Caenorhabditis elegans: one gene and its partner. The protein of the gene in region 1 purifies or fractionates together with the protein of each later gene. This does not show direct contact. Each region holds a gene or a part of one and is shown on either strand. Other genes may lie near its edges.

The links.
Region 2: the proteins of spe-40 (region 1) and Y62H9A.3 fractionate together in Caenorhabditis elegans (co-fractionation; one large-scale study listed by BioGRID). This does not show direct contact.

What each region holds. Positions count from the first base shown.
Region 1 is NC_003282.8:3,740,008-3,757,090, reverse strand, and holds spe-40 (Ig-like domain-containing protein), read left to right. Parts: upstream 1-1,635; 5' UTR 1,636-1,671; coding exon 1,672-1,731; intron 1,732-2,267; coding exon 2,268-2,357; intron 2,358-2,536; coding exon 2,537-2,586; intron 2,587-2,635; coding exon 2,636-2,735; intron 2,736-2,825; coding exon 2,826-3,140; intron 3,141-3,184; coding exon 3,185-3,355; intron 3,356-3,408; coding exon 3,409-3,717; intron 3,718-3,761; coding exon 3,762-3,961; intron 3,962-4,322; coding exon 4,323-4,479; 3' UTR 4,480-4,508; downstream 4,509-17,083. Other genes in the region: best-20 (Bestrophin homolog), read right to left, coding at 351-488, 627-732, 774-849; ugt-45 (glucuronosyltransferase), read left to right, coding at 5,993-6,139, 6,262-6,337, 6,390-6,530, 6,817-7,175, 7,222-7,579, 8,298-8,800; E3 ubiquitin-protein ligase siah-1, read right to left, coding at 9,878-9,923, 10,069-10,123, 10,692-11,267, 11,524-11,757, 11,811-11,972, 12,768-12,954; nape-1 (N-acyl-phosphatidylethanolamine-hydrolyzing phospholipase D 1), read left to right, coding at 16,220-16,293, 16,340-16,744, 16,799-17,083.
Region 2 is NC_003284.9:11,871,584-11,886,567, reverse strand, and holds Y62H9A.3 (putative secreted effector protein), read left to right. Parts: upstream 1-6,596; 5' UTR 6,597-6,623; coding exon 6,624-6,683; intron 6,684-6,730; coding exon 6,731-6,980; intron 6,981-7,025; coding exon 7,026-7,080; intron 7,081-7,125; coding exon 7,126-7,405; 3' UTR 7,406-7,458; downstream 7,459-14,984. Other genes in the region: Y62H9A.7 (ORF12), read left to right, coding at 891-1,053, 1,099-1,247, 2,083-2,238; ule-5 (Uterine Lumin Expressed/locailized), read right to left, coding at 2,589-2,676, 2,724-2,906, 3,141-3,415; stha-3 (Conserved secreted protein), read left to right, coding at 3,686-3,745, 3,845-3,947, 3,998-4,052, 4,096-4,375; Y62H9A.4 (DUF4362 domain-containing protein), read right to left, coding at 5,396-5,489, 5,543-5,734, 6,074-6,426; Y62H9A.2 (uncharacterized protein), read left to right, coding at 8,372-8,660, 8,742-9,058, 9,103-9,150; Y62H9A.1 (uncharacterized protein), read right to left, coding at 9,326-9,402, 9,449-9,612, 9,918-10,159, 10,205-10,747, 10,840-10,914.

The DNA of each region.
Region 1 (17,083 bases):
CCGGCAGGTTACGGGCAACTGAAAAATGAGGCGACTTGCAACCGACAGAATATGGGTTCTAGAGAATGCAGCCAGCATTTTACGGGCTGATTATAAAGGACTGGGACGTTTTAAATCACTAAAATAGTTTTTATCATGCGACCGACATAAAGGGTTGTTAAAATGGCAGCCGGCACTTTGTGGGGCTAGAAAAAAGAAGGCAACATTTTATAGCACAAAAAATAAAGCAGCCGACATATCACATGCCTCCAAAATAGCTGTAAACATGCAAGCGACACAAGGTGCCGCGCAGCGACCGACGTATGACGGGTTAACAAAAAAGCAATTTACACCTCGCGGGCCCACCTTACCTCTCAATCCATCCCATATTGGTGAACGTGGTCCTCCATCTCTCCACAATGATTGAGACAAAGAAAGCTAGCATAAAAGTAAGAGGAATGTAGTTGTGAAGCTCCTTCCCACAGTAAAATGCCACGTCATTGAAGGAGCTGGAATTTTGAGCTGTGTTCCCGTGTATCTCCGCGGAGAAAAAATGTATCAACAAGTTGGAAACTGACAACTTGTAGAAAATTTTATTTCAGATACTTTTTTGTGAGAAAAATCAATTTTACAGAAAGTCAACTCACTCATAATAGTCATTCGGAAACAAGACTTTATGGTAGAGTAGTGCAATTAAAAAATAACTGAAACACCACATCATTAGCTCCGACGACACACTTTTCCAGATTGACCCTGAAGAAAAGTTTTAACTTCTGAAATCTAGAGCAACTCACCCTTCCATCTGAGCAAAAGCCGCAGAAAATTAGTAGAGGATACCGACGAGACGTCGGAGTTATAGGAGACTGTCATAAGAAAAACGTGACGCTGAAAATAAACCGGAAAAGTTGAGAAAAGCTTGTCGAGAAGGAGGAAAAGAAATAGAGGAGGTGAAAGACAGTCGAAGACAATCATAAAAAATGCTTGTACATATAGAAATAAATGTTGCGGAGATCTGTGAAGAGGGCGATAAATAAAAAAAAATTGTAGCGGAAGGCTTTAACTAAAAATGTGAATATTAATTTGAAAACTTACACAAAAAGTTGAAAAAAAGTAATTTCTAAAAATATCAATGTGTGCTTATGTTATCAGATTATGTTTCGTTTTTTTTTGGCAGAAAAACAAACCTACATACAAAAAAGTAATGAAAACAAAGCAACTAATCGTTTACAGTTGTAGCCGGCAAATTGCCTTCGCAAGTGGCAGCCAAAGCATTGCGGACCATAAAAGGACAGCCGACAGTTCACAGGCCTTCGCAAGTGGCAGCCAACACATTGTGGGCCATAAAATGACAGCCGACAGTTCACCAACCTTGACGAGTGGCAGCGAACAAAATGTGGTTTCCTAAAACAGCAGCCGACACTTAACATGCTTCTTAGAGCAAACTACATTTTGCAAGTTTATTACAAAGCAGCGGGCGCATTATAGCAAAGCTTATAGCTTAAAGTATAGGCTTTTTTTTTTGAAAATTCTAATTTTTAAACCAAAAATAAAGTTTTGCCAACAACTTATCGATACGTGTTCTCCCGAACGTGTTTGTGAGAGGAAAAATGAACATTCCCAAGCTTTCAATTTCCATTTTTACTTTCAAATTCTCTTTTCTACACAAATTATCAAAAGAAGCAAAAATAAACTATGTGGCTATTTGGTTCCGTCGTACAAATATCACTACTGTACACTTATTTGGCAATTGCGGTAAATATTTGGGGGATTTTTTTGCTATACACGGGAGTTTATGGAAAAGTTATCAACATACAAAATCAAAAAAAAACATTTCCCAGTTGACTTATCAGGAAAACTATAATTTTTCGCGGCGTGCGGATCTGAAATTTGGAAAAAACTTTGAGTTTCAAATTTTTCAGAAATTTTTAATTTGGACAATGCAATTACAAACCACATACTACAGTTTCTTAGAAACTATAGCGTAAACACAGATTACAGACTACAAACTACAAAGTACAAACTATAAACTATAAACTGTGAACTATAAACTACAAACTACAAACTGCAATATTAGCAAAAACTTGAAATAATTTCCATTTCTCTAATATTTTTGATTGTGGTTTTTTGGAACTGCAATCTACAAACTACACACTGCACACTACAAACTATAGACTAAAAATTACAAACTTTTTACTATTTTGCAAATTCCAATTTCAAATCGCAATTAAGAATTTCTAATTTGTAGTTTGTAGTCTGAAAACTTTAAAAAAAACCGTAATTTTTTACAGAAAAATGTCGAGCTGTCAGAAGAATTTGAAGCATATCGTGAATGTCTGGAGAAAGTTGAACGAGACATCGGAGAGGAGCAGAGAATAAAAGTAAGGGAAAACTGTGAAAAAATGGTTTTTTGGCAAAAAAAGTGATGTTTTATATTCATTCTTTGTATATCGAATACACGAATAAATTATTGGAGAATGCTGGGGTTTTCTTCCCCATTCAAGCATTTTCATGACAATTCAGTTTTTGAATGGGCTCTCTGAAAATATTCTTATTTCAGGTTGTGCACGCTGTCCGAGGTGCTGACGTCATTCTGCCTTGCTTTACTTGGTAATGGTTGAAAATTTGAAATATTTATTACAACAAAAACATTTTATAGTGTCTCCCCGGAAGACGGTGTGGAAATTGATTCAACGTACAAGCCGTCGGCTGGATCAGTTGGAAGAACTGTAAACTATGTCGTCGACTTTTTCAAACAGGTGAGTGGAAGGGGTTAGCGGGCTTTAGCAGGCCTTTAGTGGACGTTAGTGGGCCTTCAGTGCAAAAATGAAAATAGTTACGGTTTTCAGAAATTCCTGCGCTCCTCCTTCTCAATGCCCGACAAAAATCGCTGGAAATTCGACTGGCAGTACGCGATGATGGGCCGAATGTTTGTCCCACTGTCCAGTATGCATTTCGACGCTTCTGAATCGATTTCCGACCGGATCCGACGCTTCACGTCGAAGGATGAAGCCGAGTTTAAGATCGGGGATCGGTATGAGCTGGTGCTGAAGGATGTCGATGCGAATAGTACGGGGCACTACAGATGTATCAATCGACACGGGAGAAATGTGATTTCCAATATGTACTTTTTGGAGGTCTCAAACACGAAAAAAATCATTCCGGTTAGAATTTACAGGTGCTCAAATATCAGAACCAAAATTTTCAGTTAAACGGAAGTCTTGGAGTTGAGACGCTCCCTGCAGAAGTTACCCTGAAAAATTCCAAATTTGTGAAGGAAAATCTAAAAGTCGAAACTAAAGCCGGGCCATGGAGCAAGTGCAGTTACTGCTCGTCGGATCGTGGAGAGCAAACTAGGACCATAAAGTGCTATGTTGAGGTAAAGAAGTTGTAATGGTGTCAGCGGGTGACGTTTTTTTTCTATTTTTCCAGCCATCCGTCCGTATCTCCGCTCTAAATCCTGAGCTCCGATACCTGGGCCTCTACGACAAAATCCCGTGCTCCTCGACCCTGCTCCCGCTGGATCTGCGAACAAAACTGAAGAGAATCGGAAACCATCAGATCTTTCTCGAAACTCGTCCTTGCTTCGAAGAATGCACCGGCTCTGAGGAGATCAGCAGAATCGTCAATTCGTCTCAGGATCTGGGTGACATCAGAACCCTCGACTACCTCCCCGGCGGCGAATTTGTGTTCGGAAATATTCTGCCAAGGCTTTTGCCTCCGGTTGTGAGGCGGGTTCGGGTATGAACTTATACTCAATTTTTTCCCATTTTTTTTTATTTCAGCTGGTCCTCGAAAACGATCCTCAGGTGTTGTCCTGCCAGAAGCTTATCGATCTGAACGCGGGCGTCCACTGGTACAGTATGAAGTTCGGACCAGTTCAGCACACGAACATCCATGAGTTGTACAAAGATCGGGCGTACTTTGACGAAGAGACCAACTTGGTGTTTAGGAAGTTCGCGCTGGAAGACGATGATGAATACTTGTGAGTGCCCTCATGGCCAAATAAGGCCCGATAAGCCCACTAAGGCTTTCTAAGGTCCGCTAATGCTCGTTAAGGTCCGATAAAGCCCGATAAAGCCCGATAGGCCGACTAATGCTTGCTAAAGTCCACTAAAGCCTAGGCCCGTGGAAAACTGGCAATGTGCCTTGGAAAGCTGGCCCGACTTATCGAACTGGTAAGGCGCATTAAAGCCCGCTAAGGCCCAATAAGCTCACTAGGGCATTCTAAAGTCCGCTAAGGTCCGTTAAGGCCCGATAACGCCCGATAAGCCCATTAAGACTTGTTAAGGTCCGCTAAAGCCCGCAATGGCCCTCAGAGACCTCTTAACCACCATTTTTTTCAGCTGCTACTCGTCCAACAACATTCTCCTCGGCACCTTCCATATGCGAGTCGTCGAAAATGACCAGCACCACCAAATTATCGAAGTCGTGCGGATTGTCGTGAAGTTCAGCGCCTTCATTTTCATCTTATCCCTGGTTGCCAGTCAGTTGTACCGCTAAAATTTTGCAGTTGAATGAAGAAATTCCCCCTACTTTTTGACTCTGTTCTTCTTGTTTCTATGATTTGGTCTTTTTGGTTGGCAGGGGCAAACATGTATGAACTGTTGTGTGAAAAGGAGTGTAGGTTGTAGGTGTCTGCGTCTCTCACGTTATCCCGCACTCTCTCACCCGCTCAGGTGTGATCAGTGGCGGGAAAAGGGAGTGGGGGAGGGCAATTTTTTGTTTCTTGGTACATTTGATGTCCTTGTGCCCTACTCCTCAATTGGTACCTTTTTTAATCCGTTTTCATGGTGATGTTGCCTGCAAATTCACCGCTAATTTTGGTTGATTTAGACTTTTTAAATGTCTTTTTTTTTGGCTATATCTTTTCGGAATATTGAGATTTTGAAAAAAAAATAACGAGCGAAGTATTTAGCAGGAAATTGCCTACATTTTGGTAGATCATATTTTTATTATCTTTTTTTGTCCGCAGAGATATGACGGTTAGAAGTTTTTTGAGCTCCTTTAGCCTAAAAATTGAGAAATTTGAAAACAGTAAACTATTAAAATTAAATACTTAAAATTCCCTAGTTGTTAGTTAACAATTTTTTATATACGTTTTGTCCACTGAAATATGACCGTTAAAACTTTTTCGAACTTTTTTTTGCGTCTTTGTTTGAAAACGTTTTAAATTATTTAAAAATATAGATATTTAAAACAAATCACATATAAAAATAAAGTGCTTGAAATTTCCTACGTTTCGTTAGTTGACAACTTTTTTATAACTTTTTGTCCACTGAGATACAGACCTACAAAAAATGTAGTTGTTTTTCTCGATTTTATATGGGGCTCTCTTTTCTTCAGCTCTGCTCAATCGGTTGTCTTTTTAAAATTGCATTCATTATAAAAATTCAACGGTAACAAAACAAAGAACATAAAATTAACGGCATATTCTCAGTTGAAATTTGTTGTAGCTCCAAAAAAAAAACCTGCAAAGTTACAACCGGTAAAAAAATTTTAATTTTGTTTATTTCTCAATATTCCCAAAACCAAATAGGTACAAAAACCTAGTAGTACCTATTTTGCACAATGTTTTTCTTAAAAACCTACTTATTTTAATTTTTATCCCCAACTTTTTTGTGCTCCCCGTTACCTTGGAAACCCGCTGAAAGTTCTGAAAAATTCTCACCCTTTTTCTCAAGATTTTTGATCAAATTTCTGAACTTTTTGCACTTTGCGTCTAAGTACTTGCTGTTGAGAATTTTATTTCCGTGTATTTTTTAGAATAGATTTGTCAAATTTTCTGAAACAAAAAACAAAACAAATTTTCAATTTTTGATTTTTGTCATCAAAATTGATAAGGAAGATTTGTTATCAGTTTTGGACATTTTGTGATTACTAGAAAATATGTTGTAGTGAATTTTTTGTTAAATAGTTTTTTCGGCTGTTTCTAACATTAAAATTTTGTGAAAAACGTGTAATAAAAATAAGAACATGCTACTTGAGTTATTAACTTTTGAAATTTTTCCAGGTAATGCGGGTCTTGGTATTTCTCCTCCTGTTCGTACTACCAGCAGCTTCATGTTACAAAATCCTAGTGAGCGTCCCGAAATTCGGGTTCAGTCACATGCAGACAATGGGCAAGCTGGCAGATATTCTCGTGGAGGCCGGGCATGATGTGGTACGATTTTTGTTCTATTTTAGGTAGGTAGGCATGCCTGCCTGCCTACAACTTACTTCTCACATTAGCAAGTATTATCAAGCCGAAAAAATCCCCTTCAATATAAAAATCTATATTTCCAGACATTCCTAATGCCAGTCGACGTGCCAATCCCTCAAAATGGAACTGAACTTGCCAAGGTGGTCCTGGTGCCGACTAGTAAGTTTCAAGCTTTGGGCAGACAGACAAACAACCAAACAAAAATTTCCAGCCGACGCTATTAATGAGATTATGGGACATGCTATGAAAAGCGGTGCTGTCGCGAATTTGTGGACTCACTCGGCAAACTCAAAGCAAGGAATTATGTGGTCAACTGATATGATTGGACAAGTTTCTTATCATAACACAAAAAGTGAGTTTGGGGAAAAAATGTTGTAGGATTTTGTTGTTGGGCAGCTCTTTTTACAGCTATGATTTGAGATTTCGAAGTTTAGTGAAATTTTCTGAGAACATTTTTGGCACGCTTTTAGTTGTTGTATCTTAACTAAAAATTTAGATATCAAAACATGCTCAACTATCAAACTTTTCAGCATAAAATTTCCCACGTTTTGTTAGTTAACAATTTTTGAGTATCTCCTTTTACAACAAAGTAATAGCAGCCGACACTTCACTAGTTTGCAAAATATCTTAACTTCCAGACCTAATCGACAATAAGGCTTTGGTGCAGCAGATGAAGGATGAGAAGTTCGACATTGGAATTACTGAGCTCTTCGATTTTTCGGGCCTCGCATTTTTCGAGGTTATCGGCTTGAAAAATGTGATGGGAGCCCATACGACAAGTGTCTTTGAGGGAACACTCATGGCTACCGGAGCCCCAATTCTTCCGTCTTTTGTTCCAGCTTCGCAGACTTTTACAGATGATAGTGGAAGTATACTATCTAGACTGAACAACTTGTACATGACTTATTGGTCATACCAGTTTCAGAATAAGATTCAAAGTTTTGCGCAGAAGGCGCTGGATGAGCATTATGAGAAGGGCAAGGCGCCAAAGATTTGGGTAGGTTTTTGTTCTTTTCTTTACGTTTTTAGTGAAAAATTTCCAGAATCTCGTTAGCGACATCACATGGTTCTTCGTCAACTCGGATCCGATCTTCGATTTCCCGAAACCTCTTCCCCAAAATATCGTAGAAATCGCCGGGATTTCAGTGCCAGAAATCAAGCCAGTTGGCAAGGAGTGGGATGAAATTTTGAGCAAACGATCGAAAAATGTGCTCGTTTCATTTGGATCTATAGCTTCACCTACTACGATGCCTGAAGCCGTCAAAAAATCGATTGTAGACGCGTTTGCGGCGTTCCCCGATGTTACATTCATCTGGAAATACGACGATACGGAATCAAAGTTGACCGCCCATCTTGATAATGTTCATATTGTCAAGTGGATGCCACAGAATGATCTTTTGGGTAAGAAATCTTTTATTGTGTCAGCTGGAAATTTTGAATAGCGACCGAGATATGAGAGCTTGAAAATGTTATACTATAGCCCGTGAAATGGCGGCTGTTGTAATTTTTTCTAGGTGGAGATAATCATAAATTGTAACAAAATGTAGAAAATTTAAGTTTCATATTCTGCTAGTTAACATTTTTCAATAGCTTTAAAGCAACCGAGAAACAAACGTTAGAATAAATTTCAGGCCTGTCAAGTGTCGGCTGCTGTAACTTGTTTCTAGGTAGATATAATGAAAAACTGTCAATAAACAAAATGTAGTACAATTTACACTAAACATTTTAATTGTTAACAACCTTTGTATATCTTCCCTATTCGCAGAGATACACACGTTTATATGTATGTTTTTAGCGAAAATTATTAGGGGAGCCCAGTTGGCCAGTGTACTGTTTAACCGTCCGTATCTCCACGGAAAGGGTAGCTATCAAAAAGTTACCAACTAATGAAGTATAGTAATTTTCATGCTCTTTAACGTGTTAATGCTGATCATTTTGTTAGTTATCAAATTTCTGCCAAACTTTCTTCTAGTGTTTGAGTTACAAGGGTTTTTCGTTTTTAAGTTTTAGCAGGAACTTCTAAAAACGGAAAGCTCTTTGCAACCTTTCAATGTCGGCTGCTTCTATAATATAATTTAAATAACATTAAATCTTTTGTTCCTTATTTCCTTATTTTCAGCCGACAAACGAATCTCAATGTTCTGGACACATGGTGGAATGGGAAGCTTAATGGAAAGTGCTCAAAAGTCTGTTCCGCTCGTCGTAGTCCCGATTTTCGGTGACCAAATGCGCAATGCACAGATCGCGAAGAGACACGGCGTGGCACTGATCTACGATAAAATGGACTTGAGCAACACGAAAAAGCTCATTGGAGCATTGAAAGAAGTGCTCGAGAATCCGGAATACAAAAAATCGGCGGAACTTCTCGCGCGGATCCTTGCCACTGAGAGGTTCTCCCCGCGGCAAAAGATCATTGATACGGTGGAGATGGCTGGAAGGTTCGGGCAAATGCCCAGGTGGACGTCTGCTGGAAAAGAATTCTCGTTTTTGAAATATTTCAATTTGGATCTAGTGATCATTGCAGTTTTTATATTTTTTCTGTCAATTGTCTCGACGGTACTGTTGATTAGACACCTGCTCGCGAAACTTGGTTTCTCTGGAGATAAGGAGAAATCTGAGTAGAATTCGCTGGGAGAGATGGGATGTTGTATAAATTTCGTGCATTTTTTTGGTTTGAAATTTGAAATAAAACTTTATGGAATTATGAAAACCTGGTTTTTGTAAAGCAGAAAATTCTGAAATAAAAGAAATGTTTGACTAAAAAATAATTCTTTTTTTTTCTGATTTAGTTCCGAGTTTTCTAAAATTCTATTGATAGAAATGTGAAATGTTTCTTTTTTGTCTTTTCTTCAAATTTTCAGACTAAATTTTAACGCAATTTCTGTATTTCGACAGTTAAATTTTGCAAAATTTCGGAATTTTGAAATTAATTTCCAAATTGTAAATTTTAGAGATTTTTTTTGGTATTTTAATTGTTCATTTTAATTAATTTTAATGTTTTTGAAATAAAATCAAAATTATAAAAATTATTTAAAATTTTATTTGCACTCTGTTATAAATTTTGAAAATACTCAAATTGTGAAAAATTGTTATGATGCAAATTTTCCAAATAAAAAAAACTGAGAATGAATTAAATTTCTTTAATTTTGAAAAAAAAAATGTTTTTTCTCCAAAATTTCAATTAACCATCAAAAAAAGTTCAAAAAAATTTATTCAACATGATTAAAGTATAAAATCGTAAAAATTGGAAAGAAAAATGTGGCTATTACGCAAGTGGTTCAAGAGACAAAAAAAAAGTACAAAATATCGATAAAACAACACAGGAAAGCTCGTAAAATGTGTAAATCGAGTGTAAAATACAAAAAAAAAGAAATTTATAAACCAAAAAAAATTGAAAAAAAATCCGTAGTGTTCTGTGGTTATCCATTCCGAGTCATGGAAGGATATGCTATACAGATAATTAATATTTTGAGGCGGGGGCGGGGGGGGGGGGGGGGTATTCTACATTATAAAAAAAAATTAGAACAAAATATAGTTTTTTTTTCAGAAAAAAAATCCAAAAAAAAAATTTTTTTAATTTTTAAATTTTTTAAAATGTTCTGATTGTAAGGGGATTTTCAACTGAATTTTTTAAGCTTTTCATCACATTTTTGAAGAAAAAAATCAAAAATAATTTTATTACGTTTACACTGTGCATATCTAGTCGTACTCGAGATCAGAATTTTCCAACTCATTTGGGTGGCGCCTGAAAAAAAATCAGTTATTAGTTTTTTTTTTTTTTAATTAAATAGATTAAAATTGGCTTATTGAAAAAATGTGTTTTTTTTGTAATTTTTAAATATTTTCAAACATTTAAACTTGAATTTAAAGTTTTTAAATACAATTCTCACCTCTGTGGAGTATCTATTCGGCTAATAGTGACGTTGATTCCAAGGTTTCCGTTTTCTGAAAAAAAAAGTTGATTTTTGTTGAGGGTAACTTTTAAAGTTTATATTCCGGAACTGACAAAAATTTTGCTACTAAAGGTCGATGCACCATATCTCGCCCAACTTTAAAAACTTTTCAAAAAAACCTCTGCGGATTTCGGTTTTTATTTTTATTTTTTAATAGACACTTTGTTAATATCTTCAAAAATTGACCGAGTTTATCAATCTTAGAAATTTTTGGTCGATGCACCATGTTCAAAGGAAACTTAATTTTTTTGGATTTCTGGTTCTATCGAAAAAGTTCCAACTCACAAAATATTTGTTCTCGTGTTTTATATAGTTTAGCGGTTACATTTTTGTTAGCATTCACACACTTAACCGGGGTATCGGCTGTTAAAACTATTTCGGTCGATGCACCATGATGCACTCAACTATTCCAGCTGTATCCCTTGTCTAACAAAGTTACCAAAAAAATTGTCAACTCACAAAAAAAGCTGTTTTTGCTCAGTTTTAACAAAAATTGAAAGCTCAGTTTTAACAAAAATTGGTAATTTCCGATTAAGATAAAAGCAAAAGTCAATGCTCACCTGCAAAAAGCTGTGCAGCATTTGAATCGAACGCTAGGCAATCCGACTGTTGAATGGCCACTACCACCCCCTCGTGGATGCTTCTCGGTGTGGCTTCCCATGACATTCTCCGGCGGCTCGCCGATAGCTCAAGCCGGTACACAAAGTTATCAGCTTCCTTCTTCGAGCCAATCAGCTGAACGACTGCGTAGAACATCTGAGTTGGCTGAGCTGGATCGTACTTTTCCTGCTTCTCGAGCACCAACATAAAATTATAGTCAAAGCAGCTCTGCATCATAACCCAGTCAACTGCTCCAGGAAGATTGATGTCAGTGGCCAGGAAGACGATATCCTCGCCTTGAAGCGTCGTGATGCTCTTGTGGATCTTCTTCAAATGCTCCATCACATCCGACAAGCCTCCCTGCCACTTGCAGCTAGCTCCAGGGCACGGGCAGCAGTAGGGTCGGAATTCGCAGAGCTCCTCGTGCTCGGTCTTATCAGCGTGATGGAAGTTCAGGGGGCAGCCGGACGTAGAGAATTTGCATGGAAAGCGGACGGTGTTGGCGATCTTCTCGAGGCCCAGGTTGCGGACAGAAGCTGTAAGATTGAAGGTTTAGTCTTGAAATTTGAGATATACTCTGAAACTTTGAAGATCCGTAGATCCTTGATTCGTTAGCTACATTAGAGAAACAACACAGCTAAAATGCTTAGGCGCTCGACTGAGACAGATCGATCAACCAGAAAGGATCTTAGTCTTCTATCATATCAGCTCTGCTCAAGCTGTGGTAATTTTTTCAGCTTTGACTAAACTCTTCTAGTCACGCAATTTTCAAATTTCAACTTCAAAACTCACGAGTTGGACCCCGACAAGTCGGGCAGCACTGAAGCTTTGGTCTGCAGTTCGAGCAGACAAGATGTCCGGATGAGCACTGCATGTATGGTGGCAGCATGTACTCCAGGCATACCGGGCACTCAAACACCGACAAGATCTCTGCACTGCTGTCGTCGGTGGCTCCACCGCCGCCGATTGGAATATGTGGTGCGACGCTTTGGATTCCTTGCGCGGTCGTCGTTGTGTTGTGCGGTACTGGAAAATTTTACATTTTAGCGTTACAGTTCTGAAAATCAAGAAAAACTCACTACTTCCCGGGGGATTACTCTGAACTCTGGCCATCGTTTTGCCAAGCACTGCGGTTCCAGAGATTGTTGACACTGCAGACGGTGGCGATGCCGACATCCGAGGTGTCAATCCGATTTGACATTGCTGTTGTGTGATGCCTGGCGGGACCGGTGGAGGGTTGCCTGGAAAGTAAAATTTAATGGTGCTAGTTCTGGGCTCCAAGATATAGTTTCACACTTACTTCGCTCATTGAGCCAATTTTCAATACACTCAATAATAAGCGCATTCACTACGCAGCAGCAAGAACGCATGTGGGGGAAAATGCGATCATCATGAAGCGAGCGAGCTCTCCGAGAGAGTTTTCAGCAGGTATATAAAAACTAGGGAGGGGCTCCGAAACACCGCTTTACGATGCATATGTCGATTATAACACAGAGATAGAATAGCGAGTTTTCTCTCGGGGGTGGGAGTAAAGAGGAAATGTTGAGTGACTTTAATTGGTGTCGTTTTGGATGTGGGGGGGGGGACTAATGACTGGTGAGCACGCATGGTTGGAGAAAGCAGGGGATTTGGGCTCCGGCTTAAAGGTTTGGCTGGCTGAAGGTAGTGGTGTGTCGGAAAAATCACGTGGTGTCAGAAAAAACCCCTGCCATCACGGTTTGATCTACAAAAAACGCGGACTTTTTTTGCGTAAAACTTTCTTAAGCCAAATAAAATGAGAACTATGCGTCTCAACTCGTGCATTTTTTGTAGATCTACGTAGATCAAACCGAAATAGGACATTCTGGCACCAAGTGAAATGCTGAAACAGTGATCTTTTAATCATGTCTCAATTAATAATACTCAATAGAAATTCAAAAGCCGACTCTCTTGATTCCGTTGGACAATTAAGTCCTTTCTTTAATTTTGGGCCGTTTCTAAGTTTCGGGGATGAGCAGGCTTTCAAACAAGACTCAAAGTTTTCAAAAAAGTCTCACCATTTGAGTGATTAACCATATCTTCGACTAAAGAATTGCTAGTCTGATGTCTGGATAGATGATTCGCTTGCGGAGCCGAATCGCTACTATTATTATCGTCCTCCTCAAAGATGAGCTGTGTACGACGAAGAGACTCGATCACGTCCTGATAGTCTCCTCCTCCTCCACCACCGTTCCGATTACTCATCAGCGAAGGCAGTCGAGATGACGAGGACGACGATGTTGGAGGTGGTGGGTGGTTCGGTGTCTGCGGATGCCGCCGTCTTCCCGTCGTCTCTGTAATTGGTGAGTTGGTGATAACGAATTGTGAGTGTTTTGTTGTTGTCACGTGAGAAATAGTCGCTGGAGGTCAAATTGTGAGGAATTACGAAGAGAGTAAAGTTTTTAGAATAGGTTTGTTGAATCAGGAGTGGCACGGGGTCTCACATGGTCCCATTACGATTTGATCTACAAAAAATGCGGGAATTTTTCGCCCAAAAAATGTGACGTCAGCACATTGTTAACCATTTGAAATCAGTTGGGAACTCTTCGTCTCAACTCCCGCATAGTTTGTAGATCTACGTAGATCAAACCGCAATGAGCCACTTTGACACCACGTGGCAATTTTTTTCCGGCAAATTGCCGATTTGCCGTTTGCCGGAAATTTTTAGAGGGATTTTTTAATAAGACGGAAGCACTTGAAACAGTGTCATTTTGAAAGTTTTTTTTTCCCGTTTTCTTTAGATACATTCATTGAACTTGCTTACTTTTCAAAATAGATGTAGGAACATTCATAGGATGCGTACAATTTTGCCAATTTAAATTAAATTTCTAAAATTTCCAGAAAAAAATGTGGAAAACCACAATTTGCAGAAAAATGTTTGTGAAAATTTTTTGCCGGTTTGCAGTTTTGTCGGAAATGTTCATTTTCGGTAAATTACCGGGAAAGTTGTGCAAAAAAAACAACTGAGGCTCAAATTTTTTAATTAAAGATTTACTAGGAAATTTTGAAAATTTTATATTAAAATTTGAAAATAATCGCCTAAAATCAATGCAATCAAGAACAAAAGATGAGAGATGGGCTAGGAAAATCAATAAGATAAGTAAGGGATAAGGTCCGATTTTCATGAACTTGAATACCTAGTATAGATACTAGATTCAGTAAAACGTGATTGCAAACTATTTGAATAAGTGACTTTCTAAAAATGGAAATTTGAAACATTCAAAAAAAAATGTAATACATTCACAAAAATCACTGAAAAGTTAAATTATGGTTATCTTAAACGAAATAGTGATGAAATCCATGAAGAAAGTGGTAATTTTTTCGGGAAGTATCAATTTTAAGGTTCTATTGTCCACACAGACACTTTATAAATCAAGTCGCAAGCAGAGAACAACAACAAAATCTGGCAAAAGAAAACAACTTTACTATTCGCTTTTTTTTAGCTTTCTCTAAATAATATTTTCAAAACCTAACAAAAGGATTAAAACCCTCAAATTCGACGATTACTTTGCATAAATACACAATAGAAATACGAATAAGAGAGTGAATAAAACGAAGAAAAGAGGCGAAAGGAAGAAAAATATGAAATAAAACGCGTTCTGTGTGCGTACTCTCTCTCTCTCTTTCTCTCTTTCACATCTTTTCACCAACGAATGACTGACCGGGATAGTGTGGGTGGTGGAAGAGACGACAGAGAGACCGACGACGAGATGTGTGGGCTTGTAAGAGAGTCTCTGTGTTTCTCTACCAGCTGACATGCGAATGAGAATGAATCAAATCGATTTTTGAAGAGAGAGAGAGAGAGAGAGAGAGAGACGGTTGGAGGGAAGGGATGGTGAGAGCGATTTTATATGAAAGGCGTATCAGGCACCAATAACCTTTTTAAAGTAAAATTTCAAAAATTGATGGTCATGCACTGTTGGTCATATGGAAAGATCAGCTGTTAGGGTGACTGGTACCCGGGTCAGGTGCTTGTGCTCTCGGTGGTCGATGAGAGGCAGCATAGGGAATGTAGCAATAATAATAAAAAAATAAAGTGACGTTTTATTGAAATTCATATAAGGAAATGTAAGGAAATTATCTGAAGGAAATAATCTCAATAAGGCACACGATTATTTGTTGCTACAACTAGCATTTCAGTAGCATTGGAGATAGCTTTGCAAGCTTTAGGTATATTGTGTTGGTATCAGGCTGTCCCATATCGGTTTGATCTACAAAAAAATGCGGAAATTTTTAGCCAAGAAATATGTGACGTCAGCAGGCTCTTCACCATGCAAAATCAGTTTGGAAGTCTTCGTCTAAATTCCTGCAATTCTCATAGATCAAACCGATATGGGACACTCTGGCACCGCGTGGGTATTATTCAAAGTTGAGGCAGCGTCTGTGGGTTTCTTGCCCTAACAAGGGAAGGCTCTGAACTCGTTATCGGACTTCATTACGCCACTATATACATTCGATAGAGAATAGTTACAGATGATCACTCCAAAAAAATTTATCTTCAGAGCAGGTTCGACCAAGTTACGACATTTTGAAAGTGCCAAAATACCCCTTTTTAAAAATTCCACGAAAGCCCAATAACGTTTTAGTGAAATTTGGTCAAATGATTGAAAAATTATAGGGGTTTCCTTTTGTACCTCTGCATCAGAGGTATCAAAAAATTTCTCCAATGTTTATAACGGCACGTTAAACATTGTACTAGTTGCCGATTTTAAGATTAGCAAAGCTTCTGATAAGTTATCACTGTTTGATTGTTTGTTATATATGTATTACTTATTATTCATATGTTATCCAAAAATTGAGAGATTTTTCAAAGTTATAGTTTCAAATTTGGAAAGCTAGGGGTAAAGTTTTAGTTTTTTTAAAAGCACATATTTTGGAGTGAATCTAAATTTCAAAGTCAATTGACGAATGGTTCGAGTTTAACTAATTCGTTGTTGGCGCCGCGGACCGGTTTCGCGGCAGTGATGACACTGGAAGCAAAAAACTAAACAAAAAGTTTGTGTACACACAGACACACGCAATTGTTGTCTACAACCCTTTTTTCCTCAATTCGGTCTTGGGTCTCAGTAGAGCGAAATTGCACGTGTCTCAAAAAAAGAGAGGGAAATTGTGCTCACCGAGCCACGACACACTTTTCCGTGGTTTTTTGTGGTCAGAAATGTGCGGCGAGAGTACTAGTAATCCAAGCGGAGTATAAGAAGAAACGAGAACTTCGAAAATACCTTTTAGAAATTCAAAGAAGACATTTTGAACCCGAAAGGTGCTCAGCGGATTTTCCAATTTTTGTGCCTGCGTCTCACAATTTTCAACGTTCTCTCTATTGTTGAAAAATTGAGCGAAGTACTTCTAAAAAATTGTCAAAAAGTGGTTTTTTTTCACAAAATTTGTATTAGAAAGTGTTCGTTGAGATATATGATTCTCTAGGCACCGTCATTATTTCTAATGATAAGTTTATATTTATAGGTAAATAATGAGCCTACCGACAACCTCCTCACCATTAACTAACGATCAGGAATTTGCGAAGCCGGTGAGGAATGGAAAAATGTAGGTTCTAACATACCAAGACCCACGCAAATCCAAAATTTTCCAGATTTGAAAACCCGAAATCCTTCACCAACTGGGGTGGTCGCCCGGGACTCACTAATATCTTCAAACTTGTTTTAAGGGAAACCAGCCATGAGAATCTACCGAGCGACAAGAAGGTTCTAGACAGTACACTTCCGGTGCACAACATCACTGCAGATGATTTCCACAGTGAAAGTGGCCTATTTGCGACATGGCTTGGACACGCTACGGTACTAGTCGATTTGGAAGGTGTAAAGTTTGTGACGGACCCAGTTTGGGCTGATCGAGCGTCGTTTACGAGTTTTGCTGGACCGAAGAGATACAGGCCACCACCGATGAAGTTGGAGGATCTGCCGGATTTGGATTTTGCAGTGGTGTCGCATGATCACTACGATCATTTGGATGCGGACGCGGTGAAGAGGATCACAAAGTAAGTTTTTAATGTAATGGAACATGGTGCTAGAATTTTTAAACAACTTTCCAGCCTGAACCCTCAAATCAAGTGGTTCGTCCCGCTGGGATTAAAGAAATGGATGAAGAACCAAGGCATCGGAGCCGACGGATCCAACACCGTGACCGAGCTCAACTGGGGAGAGAGCTCGGAATTCGTGAAGAACGGGAAGACCATCACAATCTGGTGCCTCCCTGCTCAACATTCGGGACAACGTGGACTTTCCGATCATAACCACCGGTTATGGTCAGGATGGGCGGTGATCGGCGAGAATCGGAGATTCTACTTTCCCGGAGATACTGGGTTCTGTGACGTCGA
Region 2 (14,984 bases), on another chromosome or scaffold:
TATATGGTGAAGCCAGAGAGTAAAATATATGGTGAAGCCAGAGAGTAAAATATATGGCGAAGCCAGAGAGTAAAAAACATGGTGAAGCCAGAGAGTAAAATATAGTGGGAAGCCAGAGAGTGAAATATAATGGGAAGCCAGAGAGTAAAATATACTGGGCGCATACCCATCCGCGCTCCAGGAGGAGCAATTTACCGAGTAGGTCGCACACTTGCCACCCCTAGACAGTATCACCTTCCATCTTTCATTACTGATGACCGCAATTACCTCTTGGCAGTGAGTATGCTATATGTTTTGAAATCAATTTTTGAATTTCAGATGCAAGAAACAATGCAAGGATATTTGCAATCGTCAGGACAAGTTCACTCTGACATTCACCACAAGAGCCGTCTCCACCAAGATCTTGATACAAGAAGAAGCCGGCCGTGGTTCGTGAAAAAAAACAGACTTTTTTTTTATTGTAAATGACTATTCAACATTACATCTTATTTTTCAAATAAAGCAGATGTTGTTCAATAAGCTGAAGTTTTTTCAGTAAAAAAACTCTCAATTAACCCAACACCCAGGTGGTCATTGCGCCAGTTGTCGTTTTTTTCCATTCGGGGATTGTAACGCACTCAACACCCATTTCATTTTTTGGCTTGTTTGAGAACTGTTAGGTTAAAGTTTTGAACATTCCTCCTAGTTTTGTTTATCTTTTGCTTATCAATGTAAGATCAAAATCAGATGTCGCTTGTGTTCAACGGCGGCGCACAACTCACACGACCTTGCCCAATTCGAAAACTTTTCTGGGCATCAAATTACCTTCTGCTTTGTTGTTGGGCTGTTTATGTATATTGTCTTATTACATATCTCATTCGATCACAGTTTTAAATGCTGATTAGTTTAGGATGTCATCTACAGCCATCAATCATGGTCAACCTGAAGAGAACAGTCGTTTCGAAATGGATGATGAAACTATTTGTCTCTTTGCAGAAGCTCTACGACGTTGCCAAAGTTTTCATGAGACACCAGCTTTTGCAAATTTGTACCTTGCCGGAGAATTGACTGCCAGTAGAAAAATTAATAAAATATTAGATTATTAAAAAAATGTTTCAGAGAAAGTCGCTATGATGATGTATCACAACAAAGTATTCCATCATTGTACTACTGTGGACCAATGCGGAGCTTTAGTCGCGCTCCTTAGAGAACATCATGAACATGTACCAGGAGATTGTCTCACAGAGGTTTTGAACATTTTGGAACAGGTAATTGTGATAAATAAGTAATCTAAGCAATTATTTTTGCCAAATGAGAGGCAGTATTTTATTTATATTGAAATTTCGCCAAGTCTGTTTTTTGATTGTCACTATCTGACATTTCATTAGTTTATGTACATATTATATATCTAAAGTTTAATTAAACAAGTGAAGAGCAAGTTGGAGTAGCGTCAATTAGAAAATTGTTATAACCATATTGTGCCAAAACGATCAATCTCATAGTAAAACTTTCGAACATTTTTCGATAATGATTTATTTCTAGTCAAAAACTGGTACAAGAAATGCAATTGCTGAGTTGACACGAAAGAATATATTTAAAAAAAAACGATAAAAAACGCTAACAATGAATGAAAATAGCTGAAAAACTGAAAAAGTACAAATAAATGAAGAAAATAAAATGAGGCAAACGCGCTCCAAGGATAATTTATTTCAGCGCATATTTAAAAAAAGAAGCCGGGGCACAAATGAAATTCGCGATTTCAAGCTCAAATATAAAATCAGGGAAATTTTTTTGAATTTTTTCATGTTGATTTTCGGAACCAGGGAAAAATTTGGAGTCATTTAAAAATATTTCCCAGATTTGGGTACCCCACCTTTAAAAAAATTACCCTATTGATCAAAAATTTACTTGAAGCATCTATGGAGTTTCTTCTCTATTACGTAGAATGTTGTTCACATTCCTATCTGTTCTCCTGATTTCTTACAACTTTATTTTTCGAGTATGTTTGGCTAGCACCGTTCATTGGTTTTCATTTAAAAAATTAGAATTCCTTTTTATTACTGTAAGCACATTCTATTTTTTATACTTTAAAATTTTTTTCAGTACGAAAAACAACGGAATAACTTGAGATCAACACCGTTGCCAACTTGCCACCATGTCGATACATGGTACAACTTGGATGAAATGAATGTGACTCCAATCTGCTGCTGCGACGCTGATCAAAATCACACTGATCTAGTATTGTACCCATTATTCTAATTGTATCTCGGCTTTCGCCTCCAACGGCCTTCATATTTTTGATAAAAACTAAACCCTCAATGTCATGTGAAAAGAGGTACAAATTTGAGCAAGAATCAGGCGTTATTTGGGCAGCCCTGTACTGATTCCGTACTTATACTCCATTTTTCACAAAATGTAACTGGAACCTTCTCTTCATCTAAACTTTAATTCAAAAAGAAGCATTAAAAGAGTCGGATCGAACAAGTTTTGAATTTTTTAAATGAACCTGGATTTTTCAAATCGAAGAAAACTGTCAAGAAACAACTAATACATAGCGTTATTTACTGAAAATTTTTCATTTCAAAAATGAAATATTGAAATATATGAGATTAGTATTTGTCTGGTGAGGTTGACAACTCGACGCAAACAACTGTTTTGATTTTGACTTCGTCTCCATTGTTAGCCACAACAGTGGTACTGAAAAATGGGACATTTTTATAATTTTTTAAAACAAAACCCGTTACCGGCGACCACGGCATCTTCCCACGACATCGATGTTAACTCCGGTGGCCAAGAGCACTGCGTCTTGGATGGTTATGTCTCCTTGCGAGACATTACTTCCAGATTTGTCGGCAATAATTGCATATGTTTTGGTATTGCTAGGGCAAGAGATTGTTGTGTAGGTTTTTCCGCGTCTTTCCATTTCACTGAAAAAGTTTTGTTTAAGGCAATGTGTGATCTGCTTGAAAATTGCCGAACTAATATCAAATGGTGAAAATTTTCAATTTAAAACAGACTGAATTACAAATTGTTCTATTTAAGAAAAAGGAAAACTTTTGTGTAAAAATAATTCATACTAAAGTTTTAGAACATTTTTTTTAATTCTTACTAAATGCTTTAAAGTCGGTGGTAATTTAAAATTTGAGTACTCTGAAACTCACGAAAATTTAGCTTTAACGCCGATGGATTTCAATTCCGATGGAAGATCAAACTCTCTCAATTTTCTGCACTCTCTTTCTTCACTGCTGTCGCTAGAGCTGGAGCTGGAACGAGAAGAATAGTCGTAGTACAAACGATTATCAGAATTTGCTGGTGCAGAATAGCTTGGATTATCGTTGGCTGGTGGTGAGTAGCTAGGATCATCATTGGCTGGAATTCCGTAACCGGAGGAAGCGGCAGCGGTGCATACAAGAGCAAGTGACAGAAGAAGATACATCTTTTGGAAAGATGAGACGATGGTTGAGTTTGACCGTATTTCATCTTCTTTTTATACAACTTTTTGTTTTTTATCTTCTCAAAATTCAATCTTGTCCGGGACAATGAGAAAAAAGTGATTCACCAACAATGTCGTGACGTTGTGATTGGTTTTGTCATATTTTACTTTTTTATGTTTTGAGAATGAAAATCAAAAAAGGAAAAAAAAACAAAAAGAACGCATATAAAAGAGATAGAGAGTACCCAGTTCAACAACCTTGTATTCAGCATCATGGTCTTCCTCATCCTCACAGTTGCGTGCATTGCCATGGTGGCAGCCGACGGTTACGGAGTGAGTTTTTACAAGTAAAATGACTACCGCATGTGAGCTAGCCTCAAGTAAAGTTTCAGAATGCATTCAGCAATGTAGAGCTGTATTATAAGTTTTCAGGCCGCCTCTGACCCATCATACCCTGCTCCAGGCCCATCTTACGGTGGTGGTGGTTACCCAATCTACTCTGATGAGGATAGTGATTCTCGGGAACACAGAAGAGGTTGGTTGAAATGTGTGCGCTAGTTGCATTTTATAAGTATCTTTTTAAAGATTTCCGTAAGCTGAAAGACTTGCACAAAACCAATGTCGTTGATGCCAGAATCAGGTAGATCACTAAACATATGCAGTTCATTAAATAACTATTGCAGATACTACAAGCATAGAGGAGATTATTATGCAGAAATTAGCTGCCCACGACAATCAGACAACAAGAAATACACATGGATCCTTGCCGACTCTGATGAAAAAATTCCATCATTTGGTATTGATGGAACTGTTGCTCTTGCCGCCGGACTCAATGTGAGATATGTTGCTAAATACTCTCGCCACGGAAAATGGTCCGGCCGCGATATGACAAACAGTGACAAGCAAAAGTTCCGTCGTGTTGGATGTCATCATGGTACTTTTGAAACATCATTGACTGTTTAATTGAGTTTTTATACTATTTTATCATTAAAAATAAATGAATTCTTCAACGAGAGCCTGTGTAGAATGAATGTGAGATAATTTCACCGAAAAGAGTTTGATTGAAAAATCAACACCAAAGACAGCTAAGTTAAGCAAAATAAACAATTCAACATATTTGTCTTTTCCAGCTTTTTTTGTATTGTTAGGAAAATGTGTTCGAGTAGTGGGCGGCAAAGAAAATTTTAAATGACCGAAACTGAAAATTCCCAGAAAATTGACAAATTGACGATAAAACCGCAACTGCCATACATTTTAGGCAGTTTGTTGATTCATAATTTTTTATTATAAGTTTCTAAATTTCTCATTTAAACTAAAAACTTAAGCGCGTCCTACAAATTTTTCTATAAACTAGGGCTCCCATGCGGTCGCCGCGACGGCCTCACGGCGTCACCCACGCCGCATTTATAGTGAGGCGCGGACCTCCGAACGTGTCGACCGCTTGCAAACAACCACCTCTTCGCACTATGTTGCACACACACCAAGCTACTCATTTCACGCAATTTGTTGGCTTTTTGATATTTGCCAACAAATCTTTTATATGTAGTACAACGGTACCTCAATTATGAGAGGAGTCCAGTCAACAGAAATATCATAACTTGGTTCCATGGAAAAACTGCGGAAAACTAACATTTGCAAATTTGATGAGTTCACTTCCTCGTGAAAAAAACAATAGGACTTTTAGAGTGCATTCAGTAAATTGTTCTAAAGGAGCGGATGAAAAAAAAAACTGTCTTACATTCAATAAAGTACAAGTAAAACCCTTTTTAATCTAACGAATGCGAAAAGAATTATCGCACTACTTTTCTTCCATATTTGGATGATCATAGAATGAATTTCATTGTCTCATTGAAATTTAGTTAAAGTATTTTCTTTACATAATTATCCAAATTTGAACTTTTTTTTTGTTTCACATTCTGTAACAAATTTGACTTTAAACTTTATCAACCAAAAACTCGTAAAACATTTAAATAAACAGAATCATTAAAATCCTGTCAATGGTCTTGGTCCGGGAAGTTCAACGCATGTGACTTTTCGGATTGCTACTTCTCTGTCGTTGAATGATTTTCCAACAAAACTGAAATTTAGACTTTGAATATAAAAACAACAAGTTGACTTAATACGGCTCACTTTTTGTCGTCGCATTTCGCAACGTAGTCGAAATTATATCCCGATGCAAGGAGAATAGTGTCTTGAATGACGAATTCTGTCTCAAACTTGAAAGATGCGTCTGTTCCTTCCTTTTTTGCTACAAGGGCATATGGTTTTCCACTGTTTGGACAGGCGATAATGTTGTAGGTCTTCCCCTTACGCTCTACTGTTCTGTAAAAAAACAACTTTTTGAACCATTGGAAAATAATTTATAGTCAAAATGAAACAGAACAAAATTAGCCCGTGATATAATTAATTATACAAACTTTGCGAAAACTTTAGTTTTGCTCTCACATCACGAAACAATTGAACGAAAAAGTAAATGCAATATGTATATTTTTTCTATAACGAGTATTGAGAACGAAATATGTGAATGTTTCTATTTTGTCGGGTTTTATGTTTAAAACGTCTTATTTTCTCTAAAACTTTTTCCAACGTTGATCAGTTAGTTTCATTTTGCAAAAATATTCGAAAAAAAGCTAACTTATGGTATTTTTTGTGATAACTCACTTGATGTCAGCACGAGCGGTTCTGTGCTTATGAACAGAAAAGTGTTTGATTTCCTTGCATTGTTCATACTCATTTTGTTCATATACATTGTTTGGTGGTCTATACTCGTTTCCATTGGTACCGTAGTTCGTTGCAGGTGGTTGTGGCGCATATACACCTGGATATTCTGGGTAACGCTCATCTGAGTTCGATCTTGATTTTAATTCATTCTCAGAAGAATCCGATGAGTCAGAAGTAGAGTATCGATTGTTTGAATGATGTCCAGGATAGTGAGAAATTGTACCATAATCATTGTATTGGTTCGCAGATACGACGACCGCACATGCGATCACAGATAAAAAGAGAGCATACATAGTGAACAATTTCGCTGAATTGTGCGTCACCTCTACTTGATTTTATAGACGATTTTGTTGAATCGTCGACAAAGTTTAATCTGGAATATGGATCACATCACATCATACGTTTTCTAAACATATGATTCATGCGAAATCTAGACCAAATATAAAACGGTCCTCAACAGAGGAGAGCCATACATCGGTGCTCTGCCAAGATGAAATATTTTGTTTCGCTTGTATTACTTGCTGCTGTGGCTTCTGCAGAATACCAGATTGTGACATACTATTGCAATTTAAAGTATATTTATATTAATGATTACAGAACGAGAAGTCCTACTCAGGTGAAGTTGAAGTTGAAGACTACCCAAGACCAACAAAGAAACCAACGTACTCGGTGCCGGATCTAGGACCACTTCCACCAGCATCATACCCAGTTCCAAATTTCCCTAATAGTTGGCCGCTTCCGCCAGCTTCACGACTAGTTCCAATTCCACAAGAATATCCAGCTCCGTTCCCCCCAGGACCATATCCTGACTCAGAAAATGGGGGATCGTATCCACCACGCAACTATGGTGAGTTCTCAACTGTATTCTCATTTTAAAAGTTTAAACAATCAGAAGTCAAAAAATTGAAAGATCTTCGTGGTGAAAAAATTGTTGAAGCCCGTGTTAGGTGAGCAAATCCAAGTTGCAAGAAGAATTATACATTCAAATTTAGATACTACACATATGATAACACCCATTACGCCGTCATTTCATGCCCCAGAAATCCAACTCCAGGAGCATACACATGGATTTTGGTGGACTCGAAGAAAGAAATTCTACCATTTAATGTTCCTGGAACAGTAGCGTTGACAGGAGGTATCAACGTTGACTACTTAGCCAAATATGGAACTAAAGGCAAATGGGAAGGAAAAGATTTGACCAATGATAAGAAACACAGGTTCCGTCGAGTTGGATGCCTTCACGGAAATACTATGTCGTACATTCAACATTAAACTTTATCAGTTTAAACAATACATTATGAAGAAAAATAAATGTTAATTTGAGCTTTCAAAGAAAACCAATTAGTTTTGAACACAAACGGAAAAGTTAATGAAACGCTAATCGTTTCTCAAATACCCGGCGTTTAATTTTTGAAACTACTTAAAAGTACATTCCTAAGCCAAACAATAAAAGCGCATCTGTTTATACTTATAATGGAGTTGCTTTTCAAAAACAGACAGACTCTTTTCACTAAGATTCTTTTAACTTCAAGGCGCTTATTGATATTATGATCAACTAAAGGAATCAAATAATTTCATCAATTCCGTTCCGTCAGAAAACAAATAAGAAAGTTTCAGGAAATTCACCCAGATTTTTCAATAATATACGGTATTCTCCATGTGTCAATTTTATATTACATTTACAGAAAAATGGAACAATCTCCTAAAAACAATCATTTTTCACATTAAATATAGGGAGCCGGGAGGACAGAGCTATAAATTCTCAAGATGGAAATATTCATTTTCTATATACTATTTTCCACCGTTTCCCCACTCAATTTTCAATTTCTGTTGATATAATCTCCCAGTAAAAAAAACGAAAATTTTCATTTTTGAATTTCTAGCTTCATGAATAATTTATTTCAACAATCTCATTTTCAACAATGGGCTTCATTTTCTGTTTTCAATTATTAGTTGTCATAATGTTTATTTGTTTGCAAATTTGCTTTCAGTTAAACCAACCCTTCCGATTATGAAAGTGTCCCGTTGTAACTAATCTCATCCTTCAAAATAGATGTCTTTCCGGTAGTATCGGTTTTCTACTAACATAAGTTCATAAAAAATACAATTTATTTTGTTTCCTGGGTGTGAGTAATCCCCCGCTGGCTTCAGTAGATGTTGGCAACGGTTTTTCAACAAAACTACCTAGTTGATCAATTGATTGAAAACAAGGAACCGTAAGAATATTTTCAGGCGATCATGAATAATCTTCCTGCACTCCTTGAAAACTCATCAGTCCCTCGGCTTACTCAGGGCCAACAAAAGAGTGATAATAAACCTTCACTGATGGAAGATACACGAATGAGTGTCTCAAAAATAGTTAATAAGAATTCTGATTTCAAAAACAATTTTTCGTACGATAAGAGGGAAGCCAAAAAATGGACAGCGTTGCGAGCAGAGTGTGAATTGACTATTGAGAGAGTAAAGTCTCTTGATCATATTTTATGCAGAGGAAGTTCCAAAACGGACCTTGTTTATGCTCTAAAACGTGAGTTTATAAATGAAGAATATATTTCTGACTGATATTAAAATTGTCAAATCTATTTTGAAACTAATTCGCATTTTTTAGAATCTGCTCAAATCTACACTCGCCGTGAAGAAATGTTTGAAATTGTTGATTCTTCACCACCCAGTATCGACAAACGTCGGACTCTTGCTCTGTTATGTGAAATTCGAAATTTGGATGAAGATAGCATTATAGGAAAAACAATGTCAGCTCTTGATATGGCAAACGGTGGTTATCACAAAACGAAAATCCTCGAAAATATGTTAGAAGAGAAGGAAAAAGAACTAAAGACAAGAGAGACGGATGCTCATGACTTACAGAAGTCATTTCAATTTTCTTTCACTGAAATGGCAGAGACAAGTGCAAACTCTGAGTGTGGAGTAAGTTTTAAAAAGTTTTGAAACTTTAAACTGATTAATTACAGACAAAAGTCACTAAGTGTGCGGTCGCAAATTCATATACAAAACATTAGAAAATGTGCATGTAAACTTACTTCCGTCTTCTTTGAATTTCATGTGGTTTAATTATTTAAAAATTCTGTGATTTTATTTTTGTGAAGAATAACAATTTTTCAATTAATAGCATAATTATATTGCTACATAGACTTCAGAATTAAAGTGAAACGTTATAACTTTAAAACGTTTACATTAATAAAGTTTTAGAGAACCATACGGTACTCTATTTGTCGGTCTTGATGGAACGTGAGATGTGAACGTTGATAATTCTGGAACATATAGATTCAACCGAACCACTAGTCCAAAAAATCTTACGTGTTTGCGTTACTGCTTTTGGTTGGTTTCTTGGAACATACTTATGAAGACCCACTAGTTTAAAAAAACCATAACGAAGCGGTTTGATAAGTATTAAGTATAGGATACAGATAACTGGACATGTGAGTTGAGTTGGAGCTAACACTACCATTGCAAATGGAAAACTGAAAAAAAAATTATGTTGAAATGCAGGCTACATTTTTCTTGTAATACCTTTGTTTCAAGTATTTTTGTTTTCTTTGTAATTATTTTTCTCAAACTATACTTTTAACTTTAATTGACATATATTTTTTTCAGAAGATGAGAACATAGAATACTCCGTGTTTTTCATATTACTTTTGTAGTACTTGGCTTCACCGGAAAGCTTGGAAAATAATTCACAGTTGCTATAGATCCCTAATTTTTAATTGCAACTTTTTAGTTTTAGTCATGCGTGTTGAATCATCTTTTTTTAGTTTATGGTTCATACCCTTCGAAAGGTGTGTATTGCATCAATAATAATGCCATTGCTGTTGCAGCTGGAATTCCAACTAAAACACCAAACTGCAGCAAGTACCAGAGACTAATTGCCAAAGCGTTTTTGAGCTGGATCAGTGTTTGCTTAGAAATCATTTTGTGTATTTTGCTCAATGTTGTATATGATTTGAATGTTATCAATGGGATTATGATAACTACTATTGAAATTCCAATAAATGCTTCGACACTTAATGCCTGAAAATGTGAAAGCTCGCTGAAATTTCAAAGGAAGAACAATACCTTTAAAGACCATTTATCACTGACTCTTACAATTGCAATGGAATATTCATTGAAAAAGTACTTAATTCTGTTATCAGTTTTGTACAAGTTATCTCGATCTTCGTATTGATGTTCATCGACTCCAATAGTCATTAGTACAAAATTTACTATTGTAAATACAACACCAATGCAAACTCCAATCAAATTTGTTTTTGTTGAGCTTTGACGTGATATTCTATAGCAAATCGTGAAGTAGTTAAACCAAAACGAATAGAGGAAACTCATCGAACACAGGATTGCCAAAGTACAACAAATATTAAACAGATGAGCAGTGACGAACGGCCCAAATCGGAAAAATCCCACGGTGAGAAGTAAGTGATATGGGAACACGATGTACGGTTGGTAGACAAAACCCATATAAACACTGAAGACAACCGGAAGCATAAGGTTGCAAACAAGAACTTGCTTGTAATCCCGCTTTAAGGTTTTCCCTTCAACTCTTACTAAATAAAGGGTCAAAGCAGTCAGAAATACGTTAAGAACTGATGTTATTTCCATATATCGCTGGAAAAAAAGTGATTAATATTATTATTGGCCACCAAATTATGAAAAAGGAAAAATCGGGTTCCTTTCCCACAAGAACATCTTTAACTCACCCGCAACCAAACAAAATAACGTTCTTGCACAGAAATGGAAGTATAAAAACCAGGTAGTTGAAAATCGGATGACATGATTGTATAAACCGCAATAGAGACAATCTGGTGTGTTTCGACCAAATTGACTGACCAGCAGGTATTAACTGATAATAACCCGTTTGACAGAACTTTTGTTTTTGATCACTGGAGTTGTGAAAAATGTTCTGAAAACCTTTCATCATTTAAAAATCAAAACCTTTTCCAAGAAAAAACACATGAAAAGATCAGCTGAATCTAAACGTCATTAAGCATGTGGTATTTTAATACAGTCATTTGATTAGACAACATTCTGCGTTTCAGCTGCATGAGCAAAAGTTTGTGTTTTGATGAAAACTCAATTTGATAAACGAATTACACCATATTGCACGTTTTGATCAAATAAGTAAACATAAATAATATGGCTACAGAAATAGACAAAATAATTGTATGTTAAATGTTGCAAAAACAGGTGTACTGTTCGAGTACGCGTGCAAAAGATGAAAAATTCCAACTTTAAAATGATGAAAGGTACTTTCCTTTGTAGTTTATTTTTCTTGCTTACTTATTTCAAATCTTCTCACAAAAAAAATGTTTGAAGGAAGTATAAAATTTTCGAACAGTTAAACAGTTTTTAATTTTTGACCCCATATCAAATTTGCTCATGAATAATTCCGTAAATTTTCTTCTCATTTAAACTAGACTCAATGATGTCAACTAAAAAAAACTTGAAGCAGTGAGTCAAATTTATTCCAATAGACTAAAATATTACATTTATAATGCTGTTTGGTTGTAAGTGAAAAAAATAAACAAAAAGTGTCACGTTTAATTTTGGTCTTGATTCTTAAATTTCATACCAAAGATCGACCCTTCAATTATCGGGGAAAATAAATTATGTACTCAACGTTTTATTTTTACTTTTGAAACTTCATGTTTCAAGCTACATACACAATTTACTTTCTATTTGATAAATGCATATTGAATTCATAACAGTGATGTTTTTTTTCTGTTGGTGATGCTGTTTATACCTTGATACATATAGGTAAACTTAGGCTTTTTGGTATGTGATCATGATTGGACAATAACAGTAGAAAATTTAAAATCTGAAGCTTGAGTAGCTTTAAGATTTATTACTAATGTTTCACATGAACTTCTATTTTAGTTAGCAATTGGAAAACTAATTTTACGAGTATGGAATCAGAATCTAGTCGTCTCTGCGGGATTTGAAGTAACCACGAACATTTTTGTATTTTATCGAGTTTCTTTCTTGTTGACTCCGTGCAGATACAATTTTCTCAGTTCAATGATTGGCTCCGTACAATCAGAACGGCGGTTTCGAGCGATTTCAGAAGTTTCAAAAATCAAATTTCAAGGCTACCTAAAAAATGCTGAATTACTGAGCGTTCAAATAATTGATAAACAGTTGTAAAAGTAAGCATTTCTTATTGTTTGAATGGAATCAAGTTAGGGTTTTAATTGAAATTATGTCGCTTTCTAAAGTTATGAGACCTTTGAAAATTAGTCTGCAGCCTTTAATAGTCTTGTAGTCTATGTTAGTTTTGTACCCATATTGACCAATTGAAAATTAGGCTTGCATGCAAGTAATAGAAAAATAGAGGAAACGGTATATAACATTTATAAGGAATTATTTCGGTACTTAATTTTTTTTCTGCAACATAAATTTTGTTTCGTTTTTTTATTGAAAAAAAGACCTCCCACCAGATGGCTGACCTTGAAACAGAACAAAAATGTATGAACTTAAAAAATCTTTTCAGAAAAATATTCGCAGGAAACGCAAACTTAGCAAAGAAAAATACAAAATGCAAACATAATGACTGAAAAATGGGTTTCACGTTCAGTAGAAATGTGCACATGCAGCTTAAAGTTTAAGACGTCACATCGAACATAAATGCGAACGGCGTACGTATTCATTTGAACAACTCACACAAGCTAGGCGATTCAGATTGCCTGGTGCAAAAAAGTTAGCTCTCTGTAATATTAATTTTGAAAAATAAAGCTTCAAAAATATAGTTTTTATTTTGAAACGATTTCTCTCACTTCAGTTATCTCAGGTGTGTTGAAAAGAGAACGACACAACTTCTATCTGTTCACTCAGGGACGAAGAAGCAACCGAGACAAAGATTGCAACGACAAGCGATACGACACCAGAAGCTTCAAACGAAAGCAACAACCGCTCGCAGAAAACCAAAAAAAATTGCGTGTTCGAATGACCTTTCAAGGTTCAAACAAACGCCATTTGACCAGTCACCAAAGTCATGAAATGACAAGTAGCCAAGTACGAGTCTGCCCAAAAGAGCGAAGGGGTCGACAGTGCTGAAGCTTTCGACAATGCAAAAGGGAATGAAGTAACATAACTTTACGACTTGAAACTTTGGCAATCCATAAGCCAATGCTGAACGTAGTTTCGAACGAGGAATCGAATCAAAATAGTCTCCCCTTCTTTGCAGGGGGAGCTCCAAGAGAAGGTTGTGATGTTTCACCGAAAAAATCGATTTTTCCCTACGGAAAAAAAACAAAAGAAACCGACAAACTGGTCGGTACAAAAACTTACAACTACTTCTTGGGTATAAGGAAAAAATTCTGAACTGCAACGAGCCTCAAACAAGCAAAATCAAGGAGTTTAAAATGGATTGATAGTTTTTTTTAAATATTTGTCCGTCCTCCCACCTTTTTTTGTCCCCATCAAACTTTCTTATCCCTATTACCACGACGTTGGATCCTATCTTTACTACCTATATATATGTATATATATATATATATATATATATATATATATATATATATATATATATATATATATATATATATCATCTCCAATATTGTATTATTTTATCTTTCCAATAAACTATGAAAATCCCCAGACAGCCCAAACCGTTTTAATCAAAAACATATCTACATTAAGCTTAAATGAGAAGTTCAATATCTTTGGAAATGCATCTTTCGAAATTAATATTACACAAATTCAATTTTCTCACAATCAGAAAAGAAATGAATATAATTAATTGGGCATTGAATTCATTTTTTTTAATTGGTTTCGCTCTATTCGACTACAATGTCACTTTTAACCTTTTTTCAAAACCGAGAAAATAATTTCACAAGGGTAAAACAAAAAGAAAGGTCCCACCGAGATTTGAACTCGGGTCGCAGGATTCAGAGTACTGAGTGCTAACCGCTACACCATGGAACCATGTTTACGACTCTTATATTGTCTAAAGAAGTTTCTAAAGCTCTCCGGCAAACGAACACTGCTGCACTCCCGATAAGTGTATATGCTAACAAAAGATGTCACTCAAAAACACATCGGCGACAGGTTTATCTCTATTGACAGCTTTTCGGAAAGATAATAATGTGATTTCCTATAGATGGAAGGTATAATGTATGGTTCCATGGTGTAGCGGTTAGCACTCAGGACTTTGAATCCTGCGACCCGAGTTCAAATCTCGGTGGAACCTATGTTTTTTTTTTGGAAATACTGCGATATTTGTTTCAAATAATTTGAACAATTATGGTAATCGGCCGAAAGTGTTTTATAGTTTTAAAAAAGAAGAAGTTTTGCAGTAAATATAAAATTATGACAAATTGATATTCAATGAACAAAACTCCCCAATTAGGGCACACATTACATTATTCATTTTATTCAGTCAGATCAACTCTAAATATTGCTAAAAAACAAAACAATAATTATTAGTAAAAAGTTACTACTGTCGCGATATTCAAATAAGTAACGTTACTGTAACAAAGTCCCCGAAAACCAAAAAAAAAAACTTTTAAGACATGCACCTATGCAAAACTTACCTCCCTGATAACCCAAACTTACCACCTTGAGAATAAAACGAACTCTTCCTAACATGCAGGCATGCACATTTCAAACTGTCCGGCTATCCCAAAAAGCTAAAAAAAACCTATTTCTACTTACGCCCAAGAAGAAGAAAGTCCCTCGTATTAAGCGTCCACTTAAGAATCTTTACATTTTAAGAGCATTTTCAGCTTTATGTGCGAGGCAAACAGGAGCTCTCTCTTACACGAACTAATGGATTAAGATAATGCAGTTGTTAGAACCAAAATTTATTTTTTTTTAATTGTTAGAATCAAAATTTCCAAGGAAGAAT